Notamacropus eugenii: one gene and its partner. The protein of the gene in region 1 purifies or fractionates together with the protein of each later gene. This does not show direct contact. Links are inferred from orthologs where the notes say so. Each region holds a gene or a part of one and is shown on either strand. Other genes may lie near its edges. The genes, in order: ABL2 and RIN1.

Evidence for each region.
Region 2: the proteins of ABL2 (region 1) and RIN1 purify together in Homo sapiens (co-immunoprecipitation; 3 studies listed by BioGRID and IntAct, counting the BioPlex papers as one, with this or other methods). This does not show direct contact. The link is inferred for Notamacropus eugenii from reciprocal best matches to the Homo sapiens genes ABL2 and RIN1.

What each region holds. Positions count from the first base shown.
Region 1 is NC_092873.1:466,386,592-466,401,701, forward strand, and holds the start of ABL2 (tyrosine-protein kinase ABL2), read left to right. Parts: upstream 1-9,688; 5' UTR 9,689-11,794; coding exon 11,795-11,918; intron 11,919-15,110. UniProt on the Homo sapiens protein: Non-receptor tyrosine-protein kinase that plays an ABL1-overlapping role in key processes linked to cell growth and survival such as cytoskeleton remodeling in response to extracellular stimuli, cell motility and adhesion and receptor endocytosis.
Region 2 is NC_092873.1:18,933,776-18,948,462, reverse strand, and holds RIN1 (ras and Rab interactor 1), read left to right. Parts: upstream 1-6,922; 5' UTR 6,923-7,047; coding exon 7,048-7,788; intron 7,789-8,164; coding exon of another isoform or gene 8,165-8,345; intron 8,346-8,486; coding exon 8,487-8,601; intron 8,602-8,693; coding exon 8,694-8,766; intron 8,767-8,955; coding exon 8,956-9,047; intron 9,048-9,326; coding exon 9,327-10,070; intron 10,071-10,458; coding exon 10,459-10,764; intron 10,765-11,376; coding exon 11,377-11,508; intron 11,509-11,626; coding exon 11,627-11,778; intron 11,779-13,241; coding exon 13,242-13,673; 3' UTR 13,674-13,857; downstream 13,858-14,687. Other genes in the region: BRMS1 (breast cancer metastasis-suppressor 1), read left to right, coding at 1,233-1,392, 1,479-1,569, 1,833-1,960, 2,125-2,204, 2,284-2,380, 2,454-2,546, 3,603-3,667, 5,280-5,319 and 1 more. UniProt on the Homo sapiens protein: Ras effector protein, which may serve as an inhibitory modulator of neuronal plasticity in aversive memory formation. Can affect Ras signaling at different levels. First, by competing with RAF1 protein for binding to activated Ras.

The DNA of each region.
Region 1 (15,110 bases):
AGGGGGAAATCTGTGTCAGATTTTGCACTTAGTTGCTCCTGCTTTGAGGCCTTGAGGAGTAAGAAATGACCTTGAGGCAGGCCCAGAGGAATCTAGCCCAGTAGTAGCTGAGATAAGGGTTCATCCAGGAGTCGTGCCACATTTGTATATAAACTTGGTGGGACAAATGTTATATAGAAACTGTGTTAAGTCTGAGTTCACTCTCCCCAGAGATAGAGGTGTTATAGGGAACAGTGTTGCCTTTAGCATAGAGGGGAAATGTTTATGTATTTTGATATATCTTTGAAGTCAGTATCTCTTCATAAAAGCTAATTGATACTAATTCTTAGAAAGAACTGAGATGTTAATAATAGGCAGTTAACAGAAGGAAGAGGACCTACTGGAATCAGGGCTCGAGCCTACAACAGAAGAGAAGAGACACTACAGCCCCTCAGGGGTATTTCTAGAACTTTGGAGGAGCAATGTATCCACGGAAATTGAGGCCAAAGTTACTTTATAATAATTACCTTATTATAATAGGTTACCTTATAATAATTTTGTTCTATAAAGAGGTTATGAACTGGATTAGTAAAGGGAGTATTTAAAACAACGAAATTAAAGATCTTTGCTAAATGAGATCATCTTTATTCTTCTTCAACTAAAGCCTTACTAGTTTTGTGAAGGTTATTCTGGGTCCTTAAAAGTTATGGTAGCAGATTCACAGGTTCTAATTTTCCAAGCTGAGATTCTGGTTGTAGTCTAGACTCTGTTAGAATAGCTGTAGTCTTATCTCCTCTTCTCTGTTTGGCATTTAAAGCTCTTTATAATCTGGCGCCAATTGACCTTTCCATATTTAGTATATCTTACTCCCCGTCACATACTCTTTGATCCAGACAAACCAACCTTTTAGCTGTTCCTCAAACAGAGTAATCAATCAATCAATCAAGCAACAAGCATTTATTAAAAGTGCTTACTATGTCAGGCACTGTGCTAAGTGCTGAGCATACAAAGAAAGGCAAAAACATTCCATCACTTGCCTCTTTGCTTTGGCATGGGTTATCTGTTGCCCTGCCTGGAATGCACTCCTTTCTCACCTCTGTCTCACTGAAGTCTCAGTTTCTTAACAAATCTCACCTCAAGGGCCACCTTCTACTGAAAGCCTTTCTGATTCTCCCCAGCTGCTAGTGATACTTTTATTTTGTATATAGTACACACATACATGATGTGCATGCATGTATACAGTAAATGTGTATATTGTATAAGGCAGCATGATGTAGTTGGTGGAAATGGATAAAGATTTAGTCTTAGAGCAAAGAAGGCCTGGGTTCTAACCCACTTCTGACATATACTGACTGTAACTTGACTTTTCTAAGTCATATATGTATGTTGTAGATACATAAGTTGTATGTATAAGCTATAGAAAAGGTATGAACCTATATTGGTAGAGAGAGTTTCCTCCTCATCTGGAAGGTCTTCATACCAATAAAATCATAAGTGTAGGCCTTCCTTCCCATGTATATGTTTCCCCTATAGAATGCCAGCTGTTATAGGAACCGTTTCATTTTTTGGTTTTTTATCCGCTGTACCTACACAGTGCCAAACACCTATTAAGTACTTAATGAATGCTTGTTCTTTGGTTGGTTGATCTTTCTTCGGAGGGCCAGGCTGACTCAAGTTCATAATGGTGCATCTCCAGGTGGGCTGCAGGGTGGTTAGTTCCAGGACCACAGCAATTATTCGAAGGCTGCCTTTGATGTAGTAGGGGTTGGGTGGTGGTGGTGGGGGTTGAGACCTGCATTGGCGGAGGGAATGCCCACACTTTCACAATCTCAGAGCATACAGAAGGATAATTTTCTCCTCCCAACTATTTTAATCTGCACCCATCCCTCCAAATTTTCTTTATTTTCTGTTTCCTCAGCTGGATTTCAGAACTGCCAGTATGCAGAAACTCTGCCTTCTTACATCTTACTAACCCTGAAGTGGATGCAGTGACATTGCCTTCCTTGCTATTCCTCCAAGACACTCTATCTGTTCATTCCTGCATTTTCACTGACTGCCTGTCCCCCAAGCCTGGAGTTCTCTCTCTCTTCATTTCCATCTCCTGGCTTTCTTCAATCCCAGCTAAAAATCCTACCTTCCATAAGAAGCCTTTCCCGATCCCCCTTAATGCTCATCTCTTCCCTCTGTTGATTATCTCCAATTTATCCTGCCTGCATACACACACACACACACACACACACGTGTATGTATATACTATATGCAATATTGTCCTATATCTACAACTTGCTTGTACATGCCTCCTCCATCATGCTATGAATTCTTTGAGGGCAGACACTGTCTTGTGCTTGTCTTTGAATCCCCAGCACTTAGCGCAGTGCCTGGTACGCAGCAGGCTTACTCAATAAATGCTTATTGACTGACTGATAATGATCACAAGCATTCATGTACGCTCTAAGGTTTGCAAAACGCCTTACCAATGTCATCTCATTGGGTCCAACGCACAAACCTGCGAAGTAGGTGCTATCTCCATGTTACAAAACAGAGGCTCACAGAGGTCAGGTGCCTTGTCCAGGGTCACTGTCCTACTCAGGTCTTGCCGATTCGAAGTATGGACTGGCACCCCCGGCTTGGCACGCAGTGGGCACTCAGCAAATGCCCGTTGCTTGCCCACCCTGACGCAGGTGGAGGTCAGGGCCGGCCGCCCTCCGAGGAGTTGGAAGTGGAGGAGGACTGCGTGGGAGGCGCCCGTGGACCTGGAATGGAGGGGTTAGAGGCCGGCCAGGAACGGAGGACCAGCGCTCAGGTGGAGAGGGATGCACGCAGCTGGGGGCAGCCGAGCAGGCAGGGGAGGACAGGCCCGGGAGGAGCGGTGGGCGGAGACTTGGGCGGAGCCACGGCAATAGGCCCCGCCCCCATGTAGCGGAGGTGCCGGTCGGGGGAGGGGGGGGGGGGAGGGAGACGCTCTGTCCCACGCTCCGCCCGTGCTCAGTGGTTAAGATGGCGGCGGCGGCGGCGGCGGCGGCGGCGGCGGCGTTGGGGGCGCGGGGCCGCCGGAGGGGGAGGGAACGCCGGAGCCCGTGAGTCGCCCGCAGCCCAGTGGAGGCGGCGGCCGAGACCCCGCGCGCGAAGGCTGCTCGGCCGGGCCGGCCGCCGCCGCGGCGAGCGAGCTAGCGAGCGCCGGGCGGGGAGCCCCGAGGCCGGAGCCGGGAAGGGAGGAATGTGACCGGGGGTCGGCGGGGGCTCGGGAGTACGCGAGCGCGGGGATGGGGCAGCAGGTGGGCCGCGTCGGGGAGGCGCCGGGGCTCCAGCAGCCGCAGCCCCGCGGGAGCCGCGGCAGCAGCGCCGCCAGGCCGGCCGGGCGCAGGAGGGATGCGGCGGGGCGCGCGGAGGAGGCCGGCTTCAATATCTTCACCCAGCATGGTGAGTGAGGGAGGGGGCGAGCGGGCGGGGCGCGAGGGAGGCAGCCCCGGGGACCCCCGGCGACCCCGCGGAGGAGGAAGGAGGGGGAGGGGGAGGCCCGGAGGACGCGTGAGTTGTACCCGGGGGATGGACAGATGGACTCCTAATCCAAGGGGGGCGAACGAGGTCAGCAGATGAAACGAACGTAGGTGTCAGGAGGATGGGGGCGCAAGTCCGCCAGCTTCTAGGAACCCCAGTCTTGGAGACTCCCCCCCCCCCCCCCCCCCCCCCCATTGATCCTGGCTGGAGGTTGTTCGCATCGCTCCTCCCGAGCGGGCAGCGTTCGGGTTTTGTCTCGGTGTCTCCAAGCCCTCAGCACGCAGTAGGCGCCGAAGCCACGACGTGTAATCTGCGAAATGGAGACATAAAGAAGGGGGAAAGGCGCATCGGGCGCCTGGAGGCATGAGCCATACGGGACTTGTGCGGCTCCGAGCCCCACAAGCCTGGAGGGAGGGAGGAGAAGTAGGGGGCTGTTTCCCGAGGAGACTTCATTGAGGGACGGGTTTTCTAAAGAAGCCACTGTCGGTTCCAAGGATGGTTGGTGGTATGGATGGGTTTTTGAATGAGAAAGGAGATGGGGTCTGTATCCGGTGCTGCTGTACAGGGCTAACAGCTGTACTGATCTTTCCAGGGTGGGCCTTTGATAAAGGTGTCGTATGGGTTAATTTCTGTTGAGATGATTCCATATGGAGGAAAGTGTGGATAAACAGTTCTCAGGAAAATATTGATCGAAGTACTTTTGTGAGTTGTGCACTAAGGTTCTGCCGTCTGAAGCTTTCTTTCTCAGTGATCTCATGAGATCCCTTAGGTTCCATGATCATGGCAGGGACTTTGAAGCTGATAAATCCTGCACTAGTTTCTCTCCTGAGCTCCAGTCATACATTGGTCACCTGACCATTGGACGTTTCCCATTGGATATTCGAAAGGCAACTTAAAAATCTTTGTCTCAGTTGAGAAGTATTTATTGAGCACCTGCTTGTGTTCAGAGCACTGGAGAGAAAAAGACAAAATCAAAACAGTTCCTGCTCTCAAGGGGTTTCCACTCTACAGGGGAATACAATGTGCAGTATATTTCCTTATTCATACATACGTATACACATACATACATACGCACACATACAAAGTAGTTTTGGTGATGAAGCATTAGGAAATGGAAGTCTTTGCAAAAGCCTTTTTTTTTTTTTAAATCAAAGCATGCCTTTTTCCTAACTCCTCACTTTTGTCTGGGATATCACCATCCTTCCAGGCATCCTGGTTCACAACTCTGGAGTCATTGCATCACTTTTATTCCTCCCTCCACCCCCCCATTCAATCAGTTGCCAAGTTTTGTCAGTTGTTCATTTAACTTTATCAGTTCCTCACATGCAACCCCTTCACACCACTCTTACCACAACTACTATAATTTAGATGCTTCTCTTCTTGCTTAGGCTGCTGCTATAGCTTTCTAATTGGTCTCTCCAATTTGTATTCTACACAGCTGCCAAAGTGATTTTTCAAACACAGGTTAGACCATGTCACTACCCTCTTCAACAAGATCCCATGGCTCCCTAGTTCCTCTAGGACAAAATATAATCTCTGGCATTTAAATCTCTTCATCTCTCCCCAGTCTGTCTTTACTGACTTCTTACACATTATTCTCCTTCACACTCTATAGTCTTAACTAAAAGGGCTTATTGGCTACATATACCTTGTTCGAGACATTTTATTAGCTTTTGCAGACAATTCCTCATGCCTCTAATGTACTTCTTCATTGCCTCTGCCTTGAATCCCTAAGCAACTCCCTTTAACATTTAGCTCAAGTGCTGTCCCCCAGGGAAGCCTTTCCTTGTCATTTGTTCTCTTTCCCCAATTACTGGTGCCCATGTTATTTCCCATTTACATTGTATACTGTATTTGTTTATGTAGTATGTAGCACATGTTAGTACTCAATGAATAATTGTTGATTGAGAAATAGATCTAACCTAAAGACATGTTCTTTCCCCTTAAGAAATTTTCAGTCTAGCTGGGGAGATAAGAACAACACATGTGAAACAGTTATAGAATAATTTAAGATCAGTGTTGAGAAGAGAGATACAGAAGGTGGGACCTTAGTTGGGCTTTGAAGATGGTGGAAAGGAGGAGGGAAAAGGGAAGAAGGCATTTTAGATGAGAGTAAAGACTTAGAGGATGGATGTAGTGTTTGTGGGACACTGAGGGTGAAGATTTTGTTTTGAGTGTTACTGGAGAATGTGGATGGTGAGGTGGTAGGGTGCAACCATACAAGGCCTTCAAAGCTAGCTTAGAGTTGATTTGGTAGCAAAGAACATTTGAAAATTTTGGAGGAGAGGACTGGCATGATGTTGAATGAGTTAAAATGCACTTAGTAAGTTCTTACCACAGGTGAAGACATATAAAGTTAATGCCTTGGATACACTCAAGGAGTCCACATTATGGTAGGGGGAGACAGCATGTATAGGAGTAAGTTGGAAAGGTCCTGTGATCTTTAGGGTTCAGCAGTGAAGTAGATGGTCATACATTTTTCCTTAATATCATTTCCATTGATGAAACTGTGAGGTTGAGCTGTTTTGACAGTTCTAAGGACTTTGAGAATTATCTTTTCTGAGTTGTCTCTAGCTCTGGTTGCTGCAGAACCTGCAGAAGTAATTTCCGGGTTACCGTTCTATACAGATTAATTCCCTGGGTGATGGCTGCAAGAGCTAGGTTAGAAGCAGGGAGTGTGAAATGGGGGGCACAGCTGTTTACTAGATCTTTTGAGCACAAAGTCCCCCCAGGGTCTGAAGAAGGTGATAGTTGATGCAATGGCAATAAATGTTCTCTTAGAATTTGTGACAGAGGAAAGGAAGGTTACACATTCAAATGATTGTCTCAGATTTTTTTTTCTGAATGACAGTTTTCACAGGGTATAGATATATAGGATCCTATAGCATAATTTATTCAGTGCAAGTTAGCTTAGAAAGGTTGGAATGCTCTCACAATTAAAATAGCAGCTCACAGTTATATAGTACTTGACAGTTTACAAAGCTCCTTCCTCACAACTTTATTGAGAGGGCAAAAATCTTGTTGATCATAAAGTAATGTAAGAAAGCTTATTCTGACAATGCTATACAGAATGGATTGGAATTGGGGGAGATGAGTTGATGAGGTCAGCTATAGAGGGTTGTTGCAGTAATCTAAGCATGAAATGACTAGCATTGGCCTGACTTGGTGACAGTGAAATGGAAGGGAAGGAGTATGAAAGATGTCTCAAGGAAGACTAGTAGGGATTTGGTAATTGCCTGTAGAAAATGAAAATAAGAATCAGTCAAACCTGATTGTAAAGTTTCAAGTCTGAGTGACTAGGAGAATAGTGTTGCCATTTTCAAATCCAAGTGGTTTAACAATCATATTACTGAGCACCTGTTTTGAGGGAGGCATGACATTCAACCCTAAGGGTTTTGTACAAAGATACAATACAATATATAAGATACTATATATATATATATATATATATATATATATATATATATATATATATATATATATACACACACACACATATATGTGTATATATATATATATACATATATATGTATATATATATATAAAAGACATTTCTGTTTTCAAGGATTTTATAATCCAGTAGGGGAGATAAGACATTCACAAATAACTATAACAGAAAATGGACTGTGATAGGTGCATGAGAGCTATTTTCTATAGTGCTATGTAACATTTGAGAATAGAGAGATACTAACTATCCTAGAAGTTGCAAGTTGATCCTTAGGAGGAAGGGGGGGAAAGGAACAAGCATCTATTAAGCACCTGCTGTGTACCAGGTGCTGTTCTAAGTGCTTTACAGTTGTTACCCCTTTCTAAAGGGAAGAGAAATATTGTGATACTCAATTGATAACTCAAAAAGAGTAGACAGATATGGAAGAAAATAAAGAGCCCTTATTTAGAAAATTGAACATTTCATGTTAATTCTGAATTAATCTGCAGTACTTTCTTATTATGCTTTAGGAAAAATAGTGAAATAATAGTTGACATTAACTTTATAGACCTGGAATCTACAATAAAAAATTCTCAAACTATAACTGATACATGAACTGCTATTTAGAGTTAGAACTATATTGAAAGAAATCTAGATACCTATCATTTATATAGCTATTGTTCTAACTTCAGATAGCAATCTTAATCATCTGCATTCTTCAGTAACACCCAAACTCTTTACCATAGTTAGATACTTCTCATTGTCCCACAAACACTACATTCATCCTGTGACACACACAGTTCCCCTTATCTAAAATGTCTTCCCTTTTCATCTCCTTCAAAGACTGACTAAAGTACTACTTTCTCTGACTACTCCAAGTTACTTGTACTACTCCAGTATACTTGGATGTATGTAAAATTTATATATAATATTATATGTACATATGTGTGCACTCATACATATATACACATACATCTATGTGCATGTGTGTACACGCATATACACACACAGATGGGTAGACAGCACATCAGAGGTGGTAGTTAGCTCTTAGTCTGTTGAATTAACCAGAAATAACCAGGAAAAATGGACAGTGTATGGCAATGATAATGACAGCCAATTACCGTTTTGTGTTTCTTTACTTTGTTTCACACACTATATACATTGTTACGGTAGATTCCTTAACATTAAAATCCTCTACTTCATTGTGACTTGGCATTCTCTGGGTTCTTGAAGGTTATAGCAGTAGAAATTAAGGTCTGGCAGATGCTGCCAATTTGGAAAGTCTTGGAATATGGGATGTATAATAGATTGTGTATCTCCTTTCCATTTTAGCTAAGTTTGCATAGGCTTATTATATTAGATTATATTAGATTGGCAACAGGGTAGTACCTCTTATTAAACACAGCAAGTTTTTACCATCATCTGAGATGTCACCGTGGGTAATGATCTGCATTGGTGGATGAATTGCAGGGATTGAAAGTAGTCGAATATACTTCCTGATTTTAGTCTTTCATCCAAAATGTTAATTCTTTTCATGTGCTCTAGATAATACTTAGGAATACTAGAACAATAACAAGATTGTAGGATTTTAGAATTAGAACATATCTTGGACTTCATCTAGTCCAATCTCTAACAAAATTTATACAGCTAGGTGGTGGTATCGCTACAACTGAAACTTTACTTGGTTACTTGCCACTTGCCCTGTCAGTCCCTTCTGTGAGCATCATATGTTGTGAATCATTGTTGGTATTCAAGAGGTAAGAATACCACATGACTTTTCAGATTTTTGGTTATCAATGGCATTTTAAGACCTTGAGTTTTGTGTCCAAATCTGTGGGGTAGTATTTTATCTTCTTTATTTAATTTGATGATTTTCAGAACAACTCTGGTGGGTGAGTACTATCATTATTCCCATTTTATAGATGAGGAAACTGAGACTGAGAAAGTGATTATTTAAACTCACATAACCAGTATAGGTTAGGGGCAGGACTCAAATCTTGATTTTCCTATCTCCAAGTCTGGTATTCTATGCACTGTGCCACATTGTTCCCAATACAAATGAAACAGTATTTTCAGGTAGTTTCACTTATGTAATGAGCTGTTTTCTATAGTGCTATGTAACATTTGAGAATATAATGACCTATGTCATTATATTCCTCAAGGAATAAATCTCCAGAGAGCTAAACTTATCTGTATGAAGTCAGCTGGGTTTCTTTACTTAAAAACAACAAACTTTGTAAGTCATGCATAAGATTTGTCTGCATTTCTAACTATATGACGTTAAATTGTTTTTCAGTCATATCTGATCTTCTGTGATGCCATTTGGAGTTTTCTTGGAAGAGATACTAGAGTGGTTTTCCATTACCTTCTCCAGCTCATTTTACAGATGAGGAACTGAGGCAGACAGGATTAAGTCACTTGCCCAGGGTTATGCAGATAGTGAGTGTCTGAAGCCAAATTCGAACTCAGGAAGAATCTTCCTGACTCCAGACACAGCATTCTATCCACTGGGTCATCTAGCTGCCCCATATTATATGACAATACTGCAGTGTATTTGTATTGTATACATTGTATTGTATACAAATACACAACTTGTATTTATATTGGACGTAAATAGGTCTGACTAGACAAAATTGTGTTCATCTTCTGCTTTTCCAGGTTTCTCTTCTTGTATCCTTTATCCACACCATGATAGAGCAAGCGTTCTTCAAAGTCCTGATGCTTTCCTTCATTACCTATCAAAACTGGGGAAATCTGTTATTATTTATGTTTAATTTATGGTAAACTGATGACCACTAAAGTAAGTAGAATGATTTTTGTAAATATGTTATCTCCTTTGGTATTTGTGACCTTTTATCTATAATTGTAGACTGAAAGGCTTTTTCTTTTAAGACATTTTGGCCATGAGTAGGCAAGTGGGGAGTTTATGAGTACAGAGGTGGGTGGGGGTTAGGGAGAAGGAGAGGGTCCGTCCTTAGAGAAACTCCTGAATTTATACCCAGGTTTCTTCTGTTGCCTCCAAAGGCAAACTAGATTGTCTTTTTTTTTTTTTTTGTAAGTGACTGGGGAGTGGGACTAAAGTATATTAGGATCTCCTTCATGGGATGGTCTCATAAATCTTTTGGGGAAGATGACGCAGGAGTTCTGTTAGTAGACGAATCAACACCCTTGGAGGCCTAGGTGAGAGTAGTTGTAGAGGGAAGAGGTACTTGGGATCCTTGATCATCAGTTTCTTCCAGAGCCTAGAGCTGACCCTTACTAGCACAGAAATTTTTCAAAATCAATATGGTGTTAAATATGAGGATTTGGGGTATGTGACTGTTGCATTCCATATTTCCAGTATCTTTGTATATAAAGATGATACTGCTACTCAGATGTACTTCTTGAGCCCATTATCATAGTCCGGGGGAATCCATTCTTTCTGTCAGAAGATTGAACCTTGGCATCATAGGCATTGTCCTTGGACCAGGAGAGCAATGGTTATTAGCTGAATCTTCATTTAGAAATTTAACTAATTAGTGTGTTATATCTAAGTATTCTTTATTGAAAAACATTTAAGTAGTTTCATTTTCATTGGTGAGTCACACTTTACTCCTTATTATTATTTGAGGAATACCATTTAGAACCTTTAATAAAGGCTTAATGTAACCTTACTTACTATATTGAAATCATTGAACTAATCCATGCCTCCTTAGAAAACTGGGGGTAAAATTTTTTTGATTGTAGTGTTGTAACAATGTAAAATAAAGCTTGTCTTGTTTTGTCAGTGGAAGCACTTTAGAAATCTGCATTCTGATACAGTTATTCCTATCAGTGCACTGATTGTATGGTTATTTCTGCACTATCTTCTTTCCTTTATAGATTGCAAACTCCCAGAGGTAGGAGCCCTAGCTTATACAGATCCCTGTGTTCCCCAAAAGCACCTAGCTAGCATTGTCCTTGGCACATACCAGAGAGTCTATAAATGTTTGTTGAATGAGTGTTTGCTTTTTTAAAATATCCAATGTAGCTTTGATAGTTTTTGAAATTGAAATTTGAATGTTTTTTATCACAACCTTAATTGCAAAGACATCTTTATACAAAGTGATAAACAATAGCGGTTAATATATAAAAATATTACCAAGTATTCAAATGTTTATCTGTCTTCCACTGCCCATGTCACTAGGGGTGAAAGGGCTCATTAGTTGGGTTGGGTTTTCCTTTGAGGATATTGTTTGGTAACATTTTAAAATAATGGTGATAGAGGTAAAAACTGATGTACTTTAAAAAGTTTGTCTTAGAACTTTTCAAGTAGTTTTTAGTATCACCTGAAACTGTAGGTGATCTTTTTGTTTGTTTGTGAAATAGGTAACTTTATAGGAGTTTTTATTGTAACGTTACAGAAGTTGTGAACTTTCTTTAACGTTTATGCCAAGAGGAATTGCATATGTTATTTGTTTGTGTAGTTTGTATACATTTGTTATTTGTGATTTATGTTTAATACACAAATGTTACTCTATGGTTTCTGCTAATCAGATTTCAATGAGCATGTTAACTCTGCAGGTAAAGAGACAATCTTTTGAGTTCCTGATTGCTGTTAAATTAACTTTCTATGTTTGTATGTGAAATGTTGATGATTCTTGTGGTAACCCTTGGTTTATTGGTCACTGAATCTTTGCAGTCTGTGAATGTTAATTGCCAATAATGAGCTAATTAGAACAAACCTTTATTCTGTTATATTGGGTTGGTCATCTAAATAAAAGCATAGAGAATACGCTCTCAAATGTAATGCTTTGCCAGATTTAGAATTTTAAAAATCTCAATTTGAGACTCTTCTGACTTGATTCTTCTTACAGTTCTTGCTGAAATAGTGCTGAGTCTGCTGTGGTGCTGCAGCCGCCTCCATAGTGAATGATGCCAGTATATTGGCTTTTGATCCAGCAGAACACAAAGCTCAGCAGGACCAGGCCACTTGTGTTCCTGGTTTGCTTTCCAGGAAGGAGGAGTTTAGAAACCTTCTACTTTGTGTGTCAAGGTCAAGCAAAAACAGTATATACAAATGTAGTTCTGATAACTTGCTCTTTCAATATGTCAGATCCAGCAAACTGGAATGAATGAAGGTTAATTTTGTCTTTAGCATTTTGTGACCGCAAAGAAGCATTGAGTAAACATTTTTTCTAAAACTAAAACAACAGCCAAGAGCTAGCATTAGAAACACAGCAAGCATAATTGGTCTAAACATCCACGCCTTATGGAGAACACAGTTGATTCCTAAAGTTTTTGTTGATTTGTTGGAGTTATTTTCTGTCAAGGCTTTTATTTTCTTAAGCCTGAGATCTTAAAAAAATACCTCAAAGGATGAACATGCAAATTGACCTAAGGACATTGACTGCTACTATAACTCTTTCCACTTGCATTCTCTTGGTGTATTGTATTCAGGGTGAGACATTTTATTTATCCTTAGACTTTGAGTTTTAGCTATTAATAATTGTGACTAGCACTTGGGTTACTTGCTCATTTACTGCTCTCTACAACATCCTAAGTATTTGTGACTCAAATGTAAATTCATTAAAGAAATATAGCTGATATATTTGAATAAGACATTTTGAAACTGAAAATTTTTGAATAATTCTCAACACATTTTGATTGAGGATGCAGAAAAGGAAAAGTCACTATTAATCGTTTTCCTAAAAAGTAAAATGTATATGTGGTTTAAAGTGACTTACATTACTTACCTTGGTTACTGAAGAATTCAAGAAACTAATTATATGAAGGAGTATAGAAATGGGAGTCATGATAGTTGAGTTTAGCTTTGCTACTGCTGAGCTGGATGACCAGAGGTAATTCGTATCTTTGGGCCTTAGTTTCCCCATCTGTAAAATAAGGACTTTGGATTGGATGTTTTTTAAGAGTCTATGAATCTATAATTTTTAGCTTTAGCCTTTGTATGGGCGTTACCTTGATGTTGATAGATTTAGTGTCAAGATCTACATCACTGATTTAAGGCCATTGAACTTAAGGCCATTTAGCTAGAAATGTGAGCACAGATTTTGGCAGCTATAAACTTTTTTATGTATTGGTACAAGAACTAATTTTAACCCTATAGAGTTGTGTTGCTGGAGAAATCAAGGCTCTTGAAGGCCTGGGTGGGAGTAGTTGTAGAGGGAGGAAGAGCCTGGGGTCCTTGATCATCAGTTTCTTATAGGACCTAGAGCTGACCCTTGACCATATTTTCTCTAGAATACAATACACTTGTGTGGAGCTTTTGGATCAATATATACTTACAACATTTCTGATAGCTTACTGGTAACTTACTGTAAACCCAAATTCTAAGTGTCAAATGATGAATAATATGAAATTGATATTAACATTGGGGAATGCTTTTTGGAACTCATCATTATAAAATATTCTCAGTTATCATAAAATCTTACATTCAGCCAGCTAAACAGGTTTTTAGGTAGAAAGACCATTGATCAATATAGGCAGTTATTTTATTTACTTTAAAACTCAGATTATAATAGTAATACAGCCAAATTTGTACTATATAGGTAAATTCCACCTGATGGTGTTCATCAGTTCTTCAGATGCTGGGTAAAACAATGAAGGGAACAGTGCTATAGGAACATTATTTTAGCTATGACATAAGTAATATGGTAATGATGAGCAGACCACAGTCAACTTTTTAGCAGTTATGACTGAGATTATATCTGGGATATGATCGCTGATCTTTTTTGGATAAGATCAGTAATATTATAGTTAGATTTTTATGATTTTATGGTAAGGCTTGGTTAAAATGTTTTAATGGTATTGCAAAATGATTTTGGTCAAATCACTTTTAGGTTACAAACTTCTGAAGAACTCAAAGTATCTTACTTGAATTTCTGTAGAGTCATTAAGAGAAAGTATACTTTTCTCCATTTTAAAATTGAGAATGTTAACAGAAAGAAGTTTCTTTACTAGTATTATCTACAATTATAGGTATAAGGTAGTTCTTTTAACTCAAGCATTTTAAAAATGCATACTGTATGCAAGTTATTGTGCTGGGTACTAGAGATAGAAAGACAAAACTAAAAGTCTCTATGAGGGAAACAATGTGTACATTTAGAAGTGTATACAAAATGTATGTAAAGTAAGTACGAGGTAATTTGAGGAATGAGGCTTTGCAGAGATCTCGGAATGCTAAGGCTAAGAGGGATTGCATTTCAGGAATACATTGAGTTAGTCTTCCTATAGGCAGAGAGATAGGGCGTAGGATTTTGTATGTAAGAATTAATAAGAAGGGCCTTTTGGCTAGATCTTAAGGTGAAGGCAGATAAAGCTGGGAAGGATGATTGGAAGCAAGTTTTGAAGGGATTTAAATATCAGAGGAGGATGAATTTAATCCTATAGGTAATAGGATGTCACTGCAGTTTATTGAGCAGGGGAGTGACATAGTTAGACCTGTGCTTTGGGAATATCACTTTGTCAGCTATTTGGAAGATATATTGGAAAGAGGAGAGACTGGAGGCAGGGAAACCAGTTGCAGGAAGCTATTGCAATAAGACCATTTGAGAGGTATGAAGGCCAGAATGAAACTGACTAATATTTTGAGTGGAGAGGAAGGTATGGATGCAAGAAAAGGTGTGTTGCACTGGAGGTGTAGAATTGATGAGACTGAGCAGCTGATTGGATGTGTAGCACAAGGGAGAGTGAGGAGTCAAGGAAGAATTGTATCTGGAAAGCTGTTGGTAACCTTAGCAGAAATAGTGAAGTTTGGAAGAGGAATAGATCAGGGAGGGAGAGGTAATGACCGCTATTTTGGACATAATGAATTTCAGACTGCTATAGGACATCCAGATAGAAATGTCAGGAGGCGGATGATGATATAAGCTAAAGGTTAGTGGAGACTAGGGCTGTACATACAGATCCAGTGGTTGTCTACATAGAGATGGTTCTTAAACACTTGGGAGCTGATGAGTTTCTTCAGAGAGTGAAGAGAGAAAAGGGAAGGCCCAGGACAGATCCTTTGAAATAATTCTGCTGTTACAGCACATAAGGTTGGTGATTGAGTGAAGGAGACTGAAGACACAGGTGGACAGAACAAAGAGAGCAGGGTCACAGAAATATCAGAAAAGAGAGTATCCAGGAGGAGAGGTTGGTTCATCAACAATTTTAAATACTGAAGGAAGGTTAAGAAGTATGGTTGAGAAAAGACCATTAGATTCAGCAATTAAGAGGTCATTAGAAC
Region 2 (14,687 bases), about 450 Mb from region 1:
AGGACAGCTGGACCCCTTTGGACTTAGACATTTCTGGTGAGGGCCTGGGACTCTTTAAATGGGGTCTCACTTTAGAGTCCAGCTTGATTTTGCCTTCCTTGGTCTGTGGTGTGGCTCAGCCAGAGGCTGGGAAGGTAAAGATTTGATTGTTTTGGGCTGGGCTCACCTTCTCCCAGGACAGACTGGAGGCTGAGAGCCAGGGTCATCGTCCCCCAGCCTGGATCCCCTGGCAGGAGCCTCAGCTCCAGGCTGGTTTTTTCCTCCCTGCCCTGTCACCACCTGGTGCACCACCTGGAGGGTGGGATAGAGATTTCTTTGTTTGACCTTCATGCCTCCCGACTCATCTTTACCCCTTGAACTCCCTCTCTCCTCTCTGCCTTTGCCATTGATGGCTTGCCCCCCACCCCCACATCTCTTACCTTCCCTGGTTCTCTGGTGTCTCAGACACCCCTCCCCCTCACCTGTACATGAGTACACATTATGTACACTTGAATGGGAGCTCCCTGAGGGTAACCCTAGATGGGGAAACTGAGACCCACCAGAGGTGACTTGATTAGCCCAAGGTAAAAAGGACATAGATTTCAACTCAGAAGGGAGTTTAGTCCAATCCTCATTTTACAGAAAAGGAAACAGACAAAGAGGGGCAGTGACTTGTCTGAGTGTCTGAGACAGGATTTGAGCCCAGTTTTTCCAGATCCCAAGTCCAGCCTTCTGTCCAGTACTCCCTGCAATCCCTGTGAAATGGCAAAGCCAGGCTTTGAAGCCAAGCCTTCAGACCCCATGTCTAATTGGGGCACCCTGGAAAGTGCTGGACACGGCCCCCAGAGAACCTAGTCCTGTGTCCTCTTATGAAGATTGAGGAAACTGAGAGCCCTACCCACCCACCACCCACCACCCAACCCCCAGGGCAAGTGACTCCCTGGCTACTTTGCCTTAGCAATGATACCCACAATCATGAAGGTTTCCTTCTGCCCTTTGGCCCTTACCTGCCATGTGACCCTGAGCAAGGCCCTGGCACTCTCTGAGGTGCCAGCATCATGTTGTGCCCACCGCAGGTTCATTCCTGGCTTCAGAGTTGGGAGGAGTGGAAACTTGGGACTAGAAGAGACCTGAGTGACCTCGTCCAGTCTTGTTATTTTACAGAGCTAAATTAGTCTTAGCCCACGGTTCTGTAGGGTTTTACGGCAGGCAAAGTATGGTCCCAAAAGATGCCCTCTCTTCTCAGAGTGACAATGCCGAGCCAGCCCCTGAGCAAAGAAGCCAAAACCTTGGAGGGGGATGGGGACAGGGATGGGGACTCTGCCCCAGAGATGAACGGGCTGGAAGAGGAGGAGGAAGGCAGTGAGGACGAGCAGAGTGCCAGCCAGACAGAGTCGGATGGCGAGAGCTCAGGTGAGCCTTTGGGACCCCTGTCCTCACCTCCACCCCACCCCGCACTGCTCCTGCTGGGACAGACTGACCGGCCCTGTGTCCTGCAGAAATGGATGATGAGGACTGTGAACGTCGCCGCGTCGAGTGCCTCGATGAGATGTCGGACCTGGAGAAGCAGTTCTCAGAACTCAAGGAGAAGTGAGTTCAGGGAGCTGCCTCCCTGCTCCCCTTTCAAAGCCTGGCATTCCTGGATCCCCTGAAGCTGAGTTGACACCCCGCCCCCCCAGAGGCAGGGGACCATGCTGGTGCAACCTTGCCATGGCATGATAAGAGGGCTTGGAAGACATGGGGCTGAATCCTGACTCTGCCACTAACTTTCTAGGTGACCTTGGGCCTCAGTTTCTCTCTCTGTCCAATGAGATGGTAGAGGTGGGTGGCATTCTTTGACTCTTGTTTCTCAGGCTGTTCAAGGAGCGACTGAGCCAGGTACGTTTTCGGCTAGAAGAGGTTGGGGCCGAACGGGCACCTGAGTACACCCAGCCCCTTGGAGGACTGCAGCGAAGTCTCAAGATTCGAATTCAGGTGGCAGGTGAGTGCCCTGACCCTGGGCCCCTGGAAGCTGTCTCTCCCCTTCCCAGGGGAGCTGTTCCTTCTCTCTCAGGCCCTGTCCCCACCACCACCTTTCTTGAGGTACCATCTGCCTGGGAGGTGCCACCCACCGGTCAAGATCTGCTCTTTCTCTCTTCCCCCCAGGCATCTACAAGGGCTTCTGTCTGGATGTGATCAGGACCAAGTATGAATGTGAGCTTCAGGGAGCCCGGCAGCACCTGGAGGTGAGTGGGAAGGGGGTACAGCAGAGCCAGAGGCAAGGGCACAGGTGCCCCCATGCCTGACCGCTGGCTTCCTTTTCAGAGTGAGCGGCTGCTGCTGTATGATGCCCTCCAGGGGGAGCTCCAGGAGCGGATTCAGCGCCTCGAGGAGGACCGCCAGAGCCTAGACATCAGCTCTGGTGAGGTGGGGGAGGGGGAACCTGGTAGGGTATGGGGTGAGGGCAGCCTGCTGACTCTCCCTCTCTGGCACAGAATGGTGGGATGACAAGGTGCACCCGAAGGGCAGCTCAAGATCCTGGGAGACCCTGCAGTCAGGCAAGAGGAAGAAGGCCCCGCTCGTCTCTGGTATCCTTATATCACAGGGGCCCTGGTGGAGGCCCCTCGAGGCAAGCCAGTATACAAGGGGCCCAGAGCCCAAGAGGCAAGGAAGGGATTGTGCCATACTCTGCAGGGAGGGCAGGGCTCACACCTGGAAGGAATCTTAGAGGCTCAACATTCTGGGCCTCCTGCTCTGCACAGGTTATGAAGGGCTGGGCCCAAAGGACAGAAGCCCAGCTCCAACCTGGGGCACCTGCACATCCTTCCTGTGAAGATGAGGTGGGGCCCCTTAGAGCTTCCATTCTGAGGCCCTTTTCAGGTCCTGGCTCTGACACATCCTGGCTGTCCTTCCCTGGGCAAGTCAGTCACTGCTTCAGGCCTTAGGTGGTCCTTCTGGGCTGTGTCAACATCAGGGGAGGGAACTGGAATCACAGCCCTGGCAGTTGTGGGGGTTATGCCAGGTGACATCAGAGCACTGGAAAGGAGAGGGGATTCACCTGGCACACATTAGGTACCTGCTGTGTGCCCGGGACTGCAGGCCCAAACTGTCCTTGCCCCTGGGAGCTTTAGGTCCAGAGAAAAGCCCCACAAGAATGTTGGAGTCAGATAGGGATGGGACCCCTGGGCCCGGGAAGGAGCCAGGATTTCTGTAGTGGGGTGAGAGGAGGCTGGGCATGGAGGCTGGAGACACAGGCTCCCAAAGTGGAGGCTGTCCCACTGGAAGGGTCCCTTTAAATGCCAAGCAGATAGGGAAGTTGTACTCAGTCCAAGGCAGTTGGGAACCACCTAAGCTGGGAATGGCCTGGGCCATGGGAGGACCCACCCTGGAGTCCTGTGGAGGCCTGAGACCCAGGGGGAGGCTTCAGGAGTCCAGCTTAGAGTCCAGAGGTGATTGAATAAGGAATGTAGCCTGAGAAGGATGACTTCTGAGGTCCCTGAGGCCTGGCCCTGATTGGCTTGGGGGTGGGTCTCTCTATACAATGATGATTATTCAAGTGACCTGGAGGATGGCAGAGGTGGGGGCAATGCCAATGTGGGTGGCCAGGCCTAGCTTCTAGTTTCCTTGACCCACGCCCTCTCCAGGTCCTTATATCGTCTACATGCTGGAGGATGTGGACATTCTGGAGGACTGGACAGCCATTAAGAAGGTAGGCAGATGAGGAGAGCAGCCAGGGGCAGGCGATGGCTGCTTTGACTTCTCTTATCTGGTGCCCTCCCAGCAGGGGCCTTTAGGAGAGGCCGCCTGGGACAGTCTGCTAAGGGCAGACACAATCACTGCCCTGGGGAGGGTGCAGGGAGTGGCAGCAGGCAGAAGGGAGGCTTAGATCAGAAGGTAAGGCACCCTGCTCCACTCCCAGGGGCAGAGTCCAAGTGTCCTTTGGAAAGCAGGCCTGGATGGAGTGGCTGGAGTTCGACCAAGGAAAGAGGGCCTGCCTCAGAGTCAGGACTTTGCCACCGCTAACTAGGTAGCTGTCATCATCCACAAATACGCATTTGGTGCAACATGAGTGCCAGGCACTATGCAAAGCCCTGGAATCCCTGCCCTCCAGTAGCTCCTGGTCTAGTGAAGGCTAAACAGGGTGGTTGGAGAAGGAAGACCCTGGAGCTCAGGGTGACCAGAGAGACTTCCCATAGGAAGGTGGGCTTGTGCAGAGATGGAGAGGGAGCACCCCTGTGGGGCTGGAGGGAACAGCCAGGAGGCTAGAGTGAAAGCAGGAAAGGTGAGTGGGGACTTGGAATGTTCTATATTTGCTCGTGCTAGTGTTTGGAGGGAGTCTGGAGTTAATGGGAGGGGGGGGTGATACGGTCAGACTTATGCTTTAGGGAGATCACTGTAGTGGGCAGAGACCTGAGGCAGGCAGACCTCCCAGCAGGCATTGCAGTAGTCCAGACTGTGTCAGGGGAGAGAAGGGTGTGTATTCTGGGAGGCTGAGAAGGCACAGGCCCTGGCTATGGAGGTCTGTTGAGTGTGTGGCATGCAGGGGGAGTCTAGGCTGAGAGAGAGGATGGTGGTACTCTCTACATGAGGTTGGAGCTCAGCTGGCTTAGGGCTGGGTGAATCCAGAATCAGCTGAATGGAAATGACCTTTGGATCCATGGGAACTGAGGATGGGTCTTCAGGGCAGGTGGGGCTCTCCCTGAACGGCCTCCATTTTTCCAGAAGTGTCTAAGCTTGGGGCAGGAGCCATCAAAGTCTTGAAGAGGAATGGGCAGGTCTGAGGAAGCTGCCCTGATGTGGGGAAGAGCCAGTGGAGGGTTAGGGGGAGGTGCCTACTGGAGATGACATCCCTTGTAGCAGGCCCAGTCAGCTCCATTTTGTGATGTTCACTGGTGCCATAGGTGGGAAGGCTGCAGATAGTAGGGGAGCTGGGGCTTGGAAAGGTGTGATCAGCCATAGGCAGTGGGTGTGGAGTGGAAGTGATCAAAGGGTCAAGATAGGGAAGGAAAGAGGGTATAGGGGGGCAGAGCTCAAGATAGGGAAGGAAAGAGGGTACAGGGGGGCAGAGGCCCCCTAACCCAAGGCTGAGGGTGTGACCTCTGTGCCCCATGTGGAGCTCCTGACGGGAGGGCAGGGGAGGGGTCAGCTGTCCATCTGCTGTCCTGCCTAGAAGCCCCTTGGAAGGCCATTGGGGTAGGAATCCAAGGCCCTGGTTCAAATCTCATCTCTCAAGTTTGCTTCTTGGTACATCCCCTAATCCCTGAGCCAGGAAGGACTTGGAGGCAGCATGGCAGTAGGGTACTTTTTCTTCTCTCCCCCAGGCTAAAGTCGCTGTGTCCCCACAGAAGAGGAAACCTGAGGGTAAGGGCAGAAGTGACCCCTTCAGGCCTGCCCATCACCCTCTTCACAGGGTCGAGGAAGGGGGTGGTCCTGTGGGGAATGTTAGCTCCCACTGCTCAGGGGAAGAGGGGGAGGGGTTTGTTGGCTCTCTGGCTGTGACCCTGGCTAACCACCAAGCAATCCAACCTTTCCAGTGCCACCTTGAACAGCTCTGATCCTCAAACGAGGATGCCCAAAAGACTCTGTTTGAGGCTGCTGGCCCTCCTTCCTGGGGCATCCACACAGCCCTGCCAGTCCCATTCTCCAGTCCCACCTAGACATGCTTCCCTCTCCTTCAGAAGGTCCACCTTCTTGGCCTGGGGCTACTGCCCTGCCACCTAGGTGGGACTGCCCATAGGTGATCTCATGTCTTCTAGCCCCTGAAGGGCAGACAAGCTGCACCCAAGGCCTGACCGGACACCTGGGGCTCCTGGACCGGCTCCTAGGCCCTCCAGCCACCAGATGACTCCATGGTCTGAACTCTACCACCCTTTTCTCCACCGTCTGGTCTCTTGACAGCTGGGATGCCACCGGGCTGTAGATGTGGGGCTGACTCAAATGTCCTGGATGCCCATCCTCAGACATGGGGGCCTCTTGGGTCTCCTGTCACTTTCACTCAGAGCCAGTAGACTCTTAGAATGGCCCAGTGTCAGCCAGCCTTTGCTAGCCCAGCCCCTAGGGCTCTGGAAGCCATGCTGTTGACCCAAGGCTGCCAGGGGTAGGGGCCCAGGGCCAGCTGGCATCTCTGCTGTTCCTCAGAAGCTCCTTGAAATGACATATTTTTGGATTGAGAACGAAGGAGCCCAGGTTTTCTAGGGTCCTGGGAATTAGAATCATGGAATCATAATTAAAATTTAATAATTAAAACAGCTCTGCCCTGCCTCTCGTGTACCTGTCCCGCATTTCCTCCCCTCCTGCCAGGAGACCTTAATGAGGCCTCCCGCTTTGGCAGGGTAGGGAAAACCCACCTTCTCCTGGAAGGGCATTCCCCCCCCCCCCCCGCTGGGAGCAGGGGACAGAGGCCCTTCAAGACCCCAGTGCCTGTGGGCCAGAGAAAGGTAGTGCTAGCATGGTCTGAGCTCTCTGCCAGCAGGCACCCTGACAAGCCGGGAGCCCAGGCAAACCAGGGATTAGAAATCTGTAAACTGGATTGGGAGCAGATCTCGGATTGACCTCAGAGGTCAGACAGGCTCAGGAATCCTGACAGGAGGGCTCGTTCTTGCTCTCTCCTGTTCCTTCCCCCTCAGTATTCCTCACAAATCAGAGGGGAAGGGACTTTAGGAAGCACCGGGTCCTAGGAGCCTACCAGGGCATCTTGTTCCAGATGATGAAAGAAGTCAATTGCCCACGCTCACACCAAGTGCCACAGAAAGGCGCACAGTGGGTAGAGTTCTGAGCCTCCAGGCAGTCAGGATCTGTGCTCAGATATGCCCGCAAATGGTCACTGATGGTGTCAGTCATCTAACTTGGGTCTGCCTCAGTTTCTTCAATTGTAAAATAGGAAGGGATATTTGTAATATGCTCAGAACAGTACCTGGCACATGGTAGGTGTTTAATACTTGTTCTAATCCCCCCACCCCAAAAAAGGGTGGAATCCAAACCCAGTTCCTCTCACTGCAAGCGCCTGCTCTTGCCCACTTGCCCCTGGCGTCTCTAACTCCAGTGACCTGTGAGAGGCCCCAGCTGGAGGCAGGGCAGGGCAGCTCAGGAATGTACATCCTGGGAGGAGTGGCTTCCAGTGTCCCAGACCTACCTGGCCCAGCCCAGCTGGATGGGACCCAAAAGGAGCTGGGTGGGAGGGGAGAAGGCAGAGAGGCCTTAGCTGGGCTGTGCACTGGTGACCTCAGAGCTGGGCTTTTCCCATCCCCCTTTAATGCTGTCAGTGCCACCCCCAGAAAAAGGGGGTGGTTACCATGGCAACGATGTGGGGGAAATGCAGCCTCCTCACCATGGCAACCTAAGAGCTACAAGAGAGATGCTGGGGGGAGGCAGCATGCAACCATGAGGGGGCACTCTCGGAGGGAGGGGACTGAACCCAAGGATGCCCCATGGGTGAGTCACCAAGCCCTGCGTGGGCCCAAGGCAGATGCCCAACTTAACCCGCTCCTGTCTGCAGGTTTGGGGGCGGGGAGAGCCTGGGATGAGAGAGTTGAACCGAGCTGCTCCGGGCATTGTGGTCCTGGAGCGCCTTGGGATGGTGAGCAGCTGGTGCTAACTGGAGCAGAGGCAGCTGGCACTGCGTGGGCCCAGAAGGGGTGCTGTGGGCAGAGAAGAGTTAACATGTTGGGGTGTGCCAGGGCTGAGCTCCTCTCAGGAAGTGTTACTCACTGGAAATGTGACTGCGCCTTCGCTCCGGGCCCTGGATTCTTAGTCTTGAGAGGAGGGAAAAGGGGCTCTGGAGAGCCCTGTGCCAACCATGGAGCTGTCTGGGGAAGCCAGCTCTGCTTCCAGGTAACTCCCCGGAGAAAAGTTGGGGAAGTTGGAGGCTGGGAGCTCGTGTGTGTCCCTGTGTGTGTGCGTGTGTCCCTGTGTGTGTCTCCCTCCCCACTGTGTGTGTGTTCCTGTGTGCTTGTGTGTGTGGGCGTGCGCTCATGAGACTGGGGTGAGGGGAAGGTTAACATGCAGGGGACAAGGAAGAGGAGAATACACAGGAGGTGGGGAGAGGAGACTGGACAGGGAAGGAAACTGAGGCAAGGAACACAAGTGGGAAGGAGAGCGCCCCCCCTCCCCAACCCCAGAAGAATCAGCTCCAAAGGCTCAGGGAAGGTCTGGCAGCAAAAAAGAGGCAGCTGTTTCTCAGACCCATGTCTCTGTCTCTTTCTTGCAGCCTGGCTGGAGACCCCATCTATGATGTCCCAGAGGCCAGGGGAGAGCAGACTGGCCAGCTCCAGTGCCCCGGGCGCACAGTGAGCCTGCGAGAGCGGCTGCTTCTCACCCAGCCCGTGTGGTTACAGCTTAGTGCAAATGCTGCAGCTGCCCTCCACGTGCTACAGAGGGAACCCCCTGGGGTGAGGGACGGTGGGTGGCCATGGGCCTTCCTCCAGGAGGCTAGGAAGGATGGAGGAGGAGGGAGACAAGAGGAGGCTGGGGGTATGTGAGGGAGAGGCCCAGGCCCCCTGGCCCTCTGAACCTCCCCCCTCCCTCACCAGACGTTCCTGGTTCGGAAGTCCAACACCAGACAGTGTAAGGCCCTGTGTGTCAGGCTCCCCAAGGCCTCTGGACCATCCTTTGTCTCCAGCCACGACATCCAGGAAACCCCTGAGGGTGAGGCCCGGGGTGGGGGAGGGGATGGGGGGGCTGGCAGCCTGAGGAGAGGGCTGCCTCTTCCCAGAACTGACACCTTCCCTTCCTTGCAGGCGTCTCCCTGGAGGGCTCTGAACTCTCGTTCCCAGACCTGATCCAGCTCATCTCCGCCTACTGTCACAGTCGGTGAGCAGACTGGTGCCCCCTACCCCCTACTCAGTGGGGAGCTCACAACATGCAAACCTGGACCCGACTCCCCCGCATCCGCCTCCCCTTCTCCCCATCCAGGAAGCCCCCCAATCCCGACTCGGACTCTGTTTGCAATAGAGCCTGGGTTCCCCTAGATCCTGACTCAGTCTCCTCTCTGCCATCCAGAGACATCCTGTTTCTCCAACTCCAGCTGCCCAGAGCCATCCGCAGGGCTACCACCCACAAGGAGCTAGAAGCTATATCTCATCTGGGAATGGGTCTGTACTCTTCTGCCCTTCTGAGCCACAGAGCCAGAGAGGAGGGTCCCAGTGGACTCAATCTCCCCCAGCTCCCTTCTGGGGGCAGTTACCCTTGGAAGAGACCTAAAGGGCCATCTCTGAGATGGTCCAAGCCCCTCATGTAAAAGATGGGAGGGAGATGGAGAGCCATGGGGCCACTGGGATCACCGAGCCCATCTGTGGGCTGGCCAGTCCCAGCCCCTTGTGTTACAAATGGGGAAACTGAGGCTCAGGGTCTCTGAATTCTCTTTTCCCCAGAGTTCTGGAACTCTTCTCTGAACAGCAAGGCCCAGGGAGGCCTAGCAGTCCCTCCCACCAAGGCCCCACCGATTCCCCGCCTGAAACCTCGGTCCCCAGAGGAGCTGGACCAGGGGACCGGAGGAGCCCTCTGCTTCTTCAATCCCTTGTTTCCTGGGGATTTGGGCCCAGCCAAACGGGAGAAATTCAAAAGGAGCTTCAAGATTCGGGTGTCCACTGAAACCTCCAGCCCACTGTCCCCCCCTGCTGTCCCACCGCCCCCCGTGCCGCTGCCCTCGGGGGGTCCTCCTGCCCAGACTCAAACTGAACCCCCTCGCAGGCTGCTGAGAAGGGAAAGCTCAGGGGGCTACCGGGTCCCAGGGAGTACTGGCCCAAGCCCAGCTCCTCTACCCTCCCTCCAGGAGGTGGACAGTGGCTCCCCCAGCAGCTCGGAGGACGAAGGTGGCCCTCCTGGGAGGCCGGGCTCATCCCCTCTCCCAGGGCGGAGGCGCCGGCTGCTTCGGTCCATGAGTGATGCTTTCTGTTCCCTCCTGGCCCCCGAGAGACAAGTGGCCCGAGCTGTGGTGGAGCTGGCCCGGGACAGACAGACAGTCACTGGGCAACTCGTACAGGACCTGCTGACCAAGGTGCGGGCAGGGCCTGAACCCCAGGAGCTACAGAAGGTGCGGGAGGTGCTGAGCCAAGCACAGACCCTGATGGTGGCTGAACTGGCCCAAGAAAAGCTATTAGCTGAGGAGAGACTGGGTGAGTGGCACCCCCTCCAGCTCTGAGACCTCAGGCTCATCCTCATCCCCATATTTCTCCCCTATTTCCTCAGTTCTGCCCCTCCCCCATGCTAGCTCCCCACTTTCCTACTCATTTCATCCTAAATGCTCTTATCACACTCCCCTGCCTCCAGCACATAGAGGGGCAACATGGGACAGTGCGTAGGACCTTGGCTGTAGGAAGCTCTGGATTTAAATCCTAGCTGAGCCTCAGTTTCCCCCTAAAGCGTTGGATCAGGAGCCTCTCCAGGCTCTAGGAGTGCTAGCTCTGTGACTCTACAATCCCCCTTCCCTCCCTGGCCCATCCCCTCCCTCCTTGCCCCCTCCCTGCCTTACCCTCCGGGATCTTTCCTCTTGCCCCTTTCCAGAGCTGGTGATAGAGAAATCTCTGCAGCGCTCAGTGCTGAAGCCCCTCCGGCCTCTCCTTCTGGCCCGCCTGAGGCTCCGCTTGGCTCAAGATGGATCCTTGGGCCGGCTGGTAGAGGGCCTCCAGCTGGCCAGGGCTCAGGGGCCCAGAGCCTTGGGAAGCTGCCTCAGTCTCCCCTCCCCATCTGAGATGGAGCGTATCCGGCAGAAGCTGCTGAAACTCCTCCAGGGCTACTCTCCCACGGCCAAGGTCACTCGTCTCCTGCAGGCCTGCAAGCTACTCTACAAGGCCCTGAGCAGCTGGGCAGGTACCTGCCTGAAGGGGCAGTATGGAGGACAGGGCATGTGGCATCTTATATGGGAGGGAGCTTAGAATGCATGACAGACCATGTCAGAGCCAGGAGGGACCTTCAAACTGAGAACTGGAGCATCCGCTTGCCCACTTCAAAGTCTCTGGGTCTCAGTTTCCCCCAAACCATCCTAAAAGGGACCACAGTGGCCCTGGGGGGAAGGAGAGCTGTCTTCCTTTGGTTTCCTGGCCTGAAGTCAATGGCCTCTCCTCCCCTACCTGCCCCTAGCATTTCTGGCTTCCAAGGAGGCCCCCAGTGCAGCTTTGGGCTGAAGGCTCAGTTGTCCAGAGATCCCATCCCTCTCATCCTCCCAAGACCTTAAAATCCAAACAGTGGAGGGGTCCGGGCTGGGCTGGAACCCCCCTTCCTTGTGGAACAGGGAGATGAACAGAGAAAGACCAATAGCCACTGGGGACTAGGGGACACAAAAGAAACACATCCCCAGGTATGCCTGAGCCAGAAGCTGGGGTGAGGCTGACCCAGGAACCACCCGGCCCCTGCAGGGTTTGTTCCCCAGCTGTAGTCTGTGGAAAAGACAGAAGGGGAGGCTAAGGGTTTCTCCCTCGGCAGGGGAGAATGCCGGGGCCGATGAATTCCTGCCTCTGCTCAGTGCTGTCCTGGCCCAGTGTGACCTCCCAGACCTGCTGCCCGAGACTGAGTACATAACAGAACTGCTTGAGCCCAGTCTGCTCACAGGGGAGGGTAAGCACCCCCCTCCTCATTCCTCCTCTCCCTCCTCCCTGTCCTACTCCCCCAATGCGGCCACCTGCCTCGACTAGCTTCTGTCCCATACCCTCACCTGAGACCTTCCTGTCCTCAGGGGGCTATTGCCTCACCAGCCTGGCAGCCAGCCTGACCCTGCTGGGGAGTTTGAGCCAGGCTGGCTCACAGCCCATCAGTCCATCCCAAGAGCTCCAACGCTCCCTCAGCCTCTGGGAGCAACGCAGACTCCCTCCCACCAGGAACTTCAAGGTAACCTGAGGATCCTGCCAAAGAAGGGCAGTGGATCAGAGCTGGGAGGGGCCTTAGAACAGGGAATGTCAGACCTGGGAAGGAGTTTAAAACAGATGTTAATGCTGAGAGGGACCTTGGAACATGGAATGTCAGCTGAGAAGGACCTTGAAATAGATAATGTCAGAGAATTGGGAAGGAATCAGAGCACAGAATGTGAGATCTGGGAGGGCCCTTAGAGATGTCAGGGCTGGGAGAGGCTTTAGAACGTGGAATGTCACAGCTGGAAAGAACAGACTTTGTAAGATGAGTCTAGACTTGGATTCTGCAGACCACCTTTGACACTAGCTTAGTGACCCTTCATGAATTCTTTTCCTGATGGGTCTCAGTTTTACCCTCTGTCAAATGGGGAGGATAATATCTGCTTCATAGAGTTATGAGGAAATCTGACAGAGTCCTAGAAATGGAGCTCTCAGTTCAACCCACCTCTCTCTCTCCTGTCCAGCCTGTCTCAAGCCCCCTAGCTGCTTCCTCACCCTCTCCCACCCCCCCCCCCCCACCTGACTACTCAGTCATGTGTCTCCCTTTTCTCCAAAACATGCTCCCAAGCTTCCAGGAAGACTCAGAGAGGAAAGGACACACAAAAAGGACACAGGAAAAACAGCCAGTCTGGCAGTCTGAACTTGACACCATCTCCCACCTGATCAGTGACCAAGCAGGGTCAATGCCAAGGCCTTCCTGTTGGGGGTGGCTCAAGGCCTGAATCAATAAGAGGAGGGATGGCTTGACAGGCAGGGGGGACAGCCAGGTGCAAAGTCTCCAGGTAGGAGATGGTGCCAAAGTTCAGACATCAGACATCAGATCTTTCTGACATCAAGGGCAGCTGTTTAACAGGGACCAGGTTTAGAATTGTTAGTGCTGCTTCAGATGTGAAAGAATTCATTTAGTCAATTCTCTCCTACCCAAGGGGAGCTCTACTGATGCTGCTTATTATTAGGCTAGCCCTGGAAGGAGGGGTGGAGGGGAGACAAGGAATTTCCTGGCTCAGGGTAAGGGGGGCATTTTGTGGTATTCCAAGAGAGGGGGAGACTTGAAGGTGCCAGGGAAAGAGCCCCTCAACCCTTAGGGCACCTTTAGAGGATTAACTAGCAAAAGGGAAGCTCACCTTTGTATTCACATCAGTAGGGCAGTTATTGTTAAACCATTAGAGCAAATCGTGTTTCGATAGCGCTTTCTGGCTTCTAAGTACTCGAAGAAGGAAGGTGGGCTCAGGGTTACTATCCCCATTTTCTAGATTAACAAACTGAAGCTCAGGAAGCCAAATTCACACAGCTCAGCGTTGTCCTGTGTCCCCTCCTCGGGTCCTCCTCCCAAAGAAGAAAGCCTTCTTTGCCACCCCTCCCCCACAATATCCTAGGACCCAGCCCTTGGCCATTGGTCAGGTGTCAGGGTCTCACTGACCCTGGGTCCTTCCCCTTTCCCAGCATCTCCTTCGGGTGGCTTACCAGGACCCCATCAATGGCTGCACCTCCAAAACCTTGGCCCTACCCCCGGGCTCCTCGGCCGCCACGCTGTGCCTGCTCTGTGCCACCAAGTTCCGGGTGCCAAAACCTGAAACCTTTGCCCTCTTTCTGCATGATGAGAAGGGCTCCCGCCGCTTGGCTCCGGACACCCTGCCCCATGACCTCTCGGGGCCCGGCTACCTCATCTACCGGCAGGTGGAGGGAGCCCCGAAGGCTGAGAACCAGGGACCCAGAGCTACGGAGGAGGTTCCTGGGGCAGCAGCAGGGTCAAAACTGGAGAATCAGAGCCCAGAGGGAGGTGGAGAGAAGGGGGGAGAGACCGAGGGAGGGGAAGGGGAGGGGGTGGAGGCAGGAGGAGCTGAGTCCGAAGCCGGGGGAGTCCATGAGAAGTGACCTAAGGCCCCACGCCCCTGCTGGTTAACCCTCCGTGATCCCTCCTCTGCACTCACAACCACTTTTTACACCCAATTTGGGGCAAAGAAGTTGCCTGGGAGGGGGGAACCAGGCCTAGAGACCCCCAGAAGCCTGGAGAGCTGAGACTGCTGCTGAATGAATAAAGCTTTTACTGAGCACTTAACTGTGTGCACAACTCCGACATTACTAAGAGAAAAATCAGCTAGCGCCTGCCCTCAGGGAGTTCTCGATTTAGGGAAGGTTTTTGCTTCCCGGAACATGGAAGGGTCCGAGGCAGCTGGTGGGGCTGACTGAGTCCTCCTCCACAGGACCCCCACCCCAGATGATGGTTCGGAGGATGGGCTAGTGTGGGGGTCGCTGCTGGTCGGGAGGCTCTTGGCAGCTCCCAACCGGGCGCGAAGGGAGACGGTCAAGATTGGGCTGTTAGACTGGCTCAGAATGAGCCGGATACTGTAACTTCCAAGCACCGCTCCTTCCCACCCACCCCATCGACGCCCAACTTCTGGGTCCAGAGCGCGCAGGTGACGCAGGACCCAGTGCTGTTTCTGATCCAAACCTGAGCCCTCTCTGATGTCTTGTGACTGCCTGGACAGGCCTGGGCAGGCATAGAAAGTGGAGGGGCTCCCAGCTCTAGCCATCCCTACCAAGAGAATCACAGGCGTGAGCTCCCTTGGGGCCACCAAGCATCTGCCTCTGACCCCCGCCTCCCTGGAACTCCACGACCTGGAGAGGGTTAATTCATTGCTCAGCCTCTGCTCCGTTGGGAGGAAAGGGACGTCCACCACGTCCTTGTGTGGTCCGGAAGCCCCGACCTCAGGAGTCGAGAATGGAGCTGGAGTGAGCCAAGGGTTTGCCTTCTCCTGGACCAGGCTCGAAGCATCTGATTTCATTCTCCCTCCTTCCCCACTCTAGAGGGAGGTTTCTCTCTCTTTTCCATCCCTTTCCAGTGCCCAGGATGGTGCTGGCACAACATCGGTATCCTTGATAAATGCA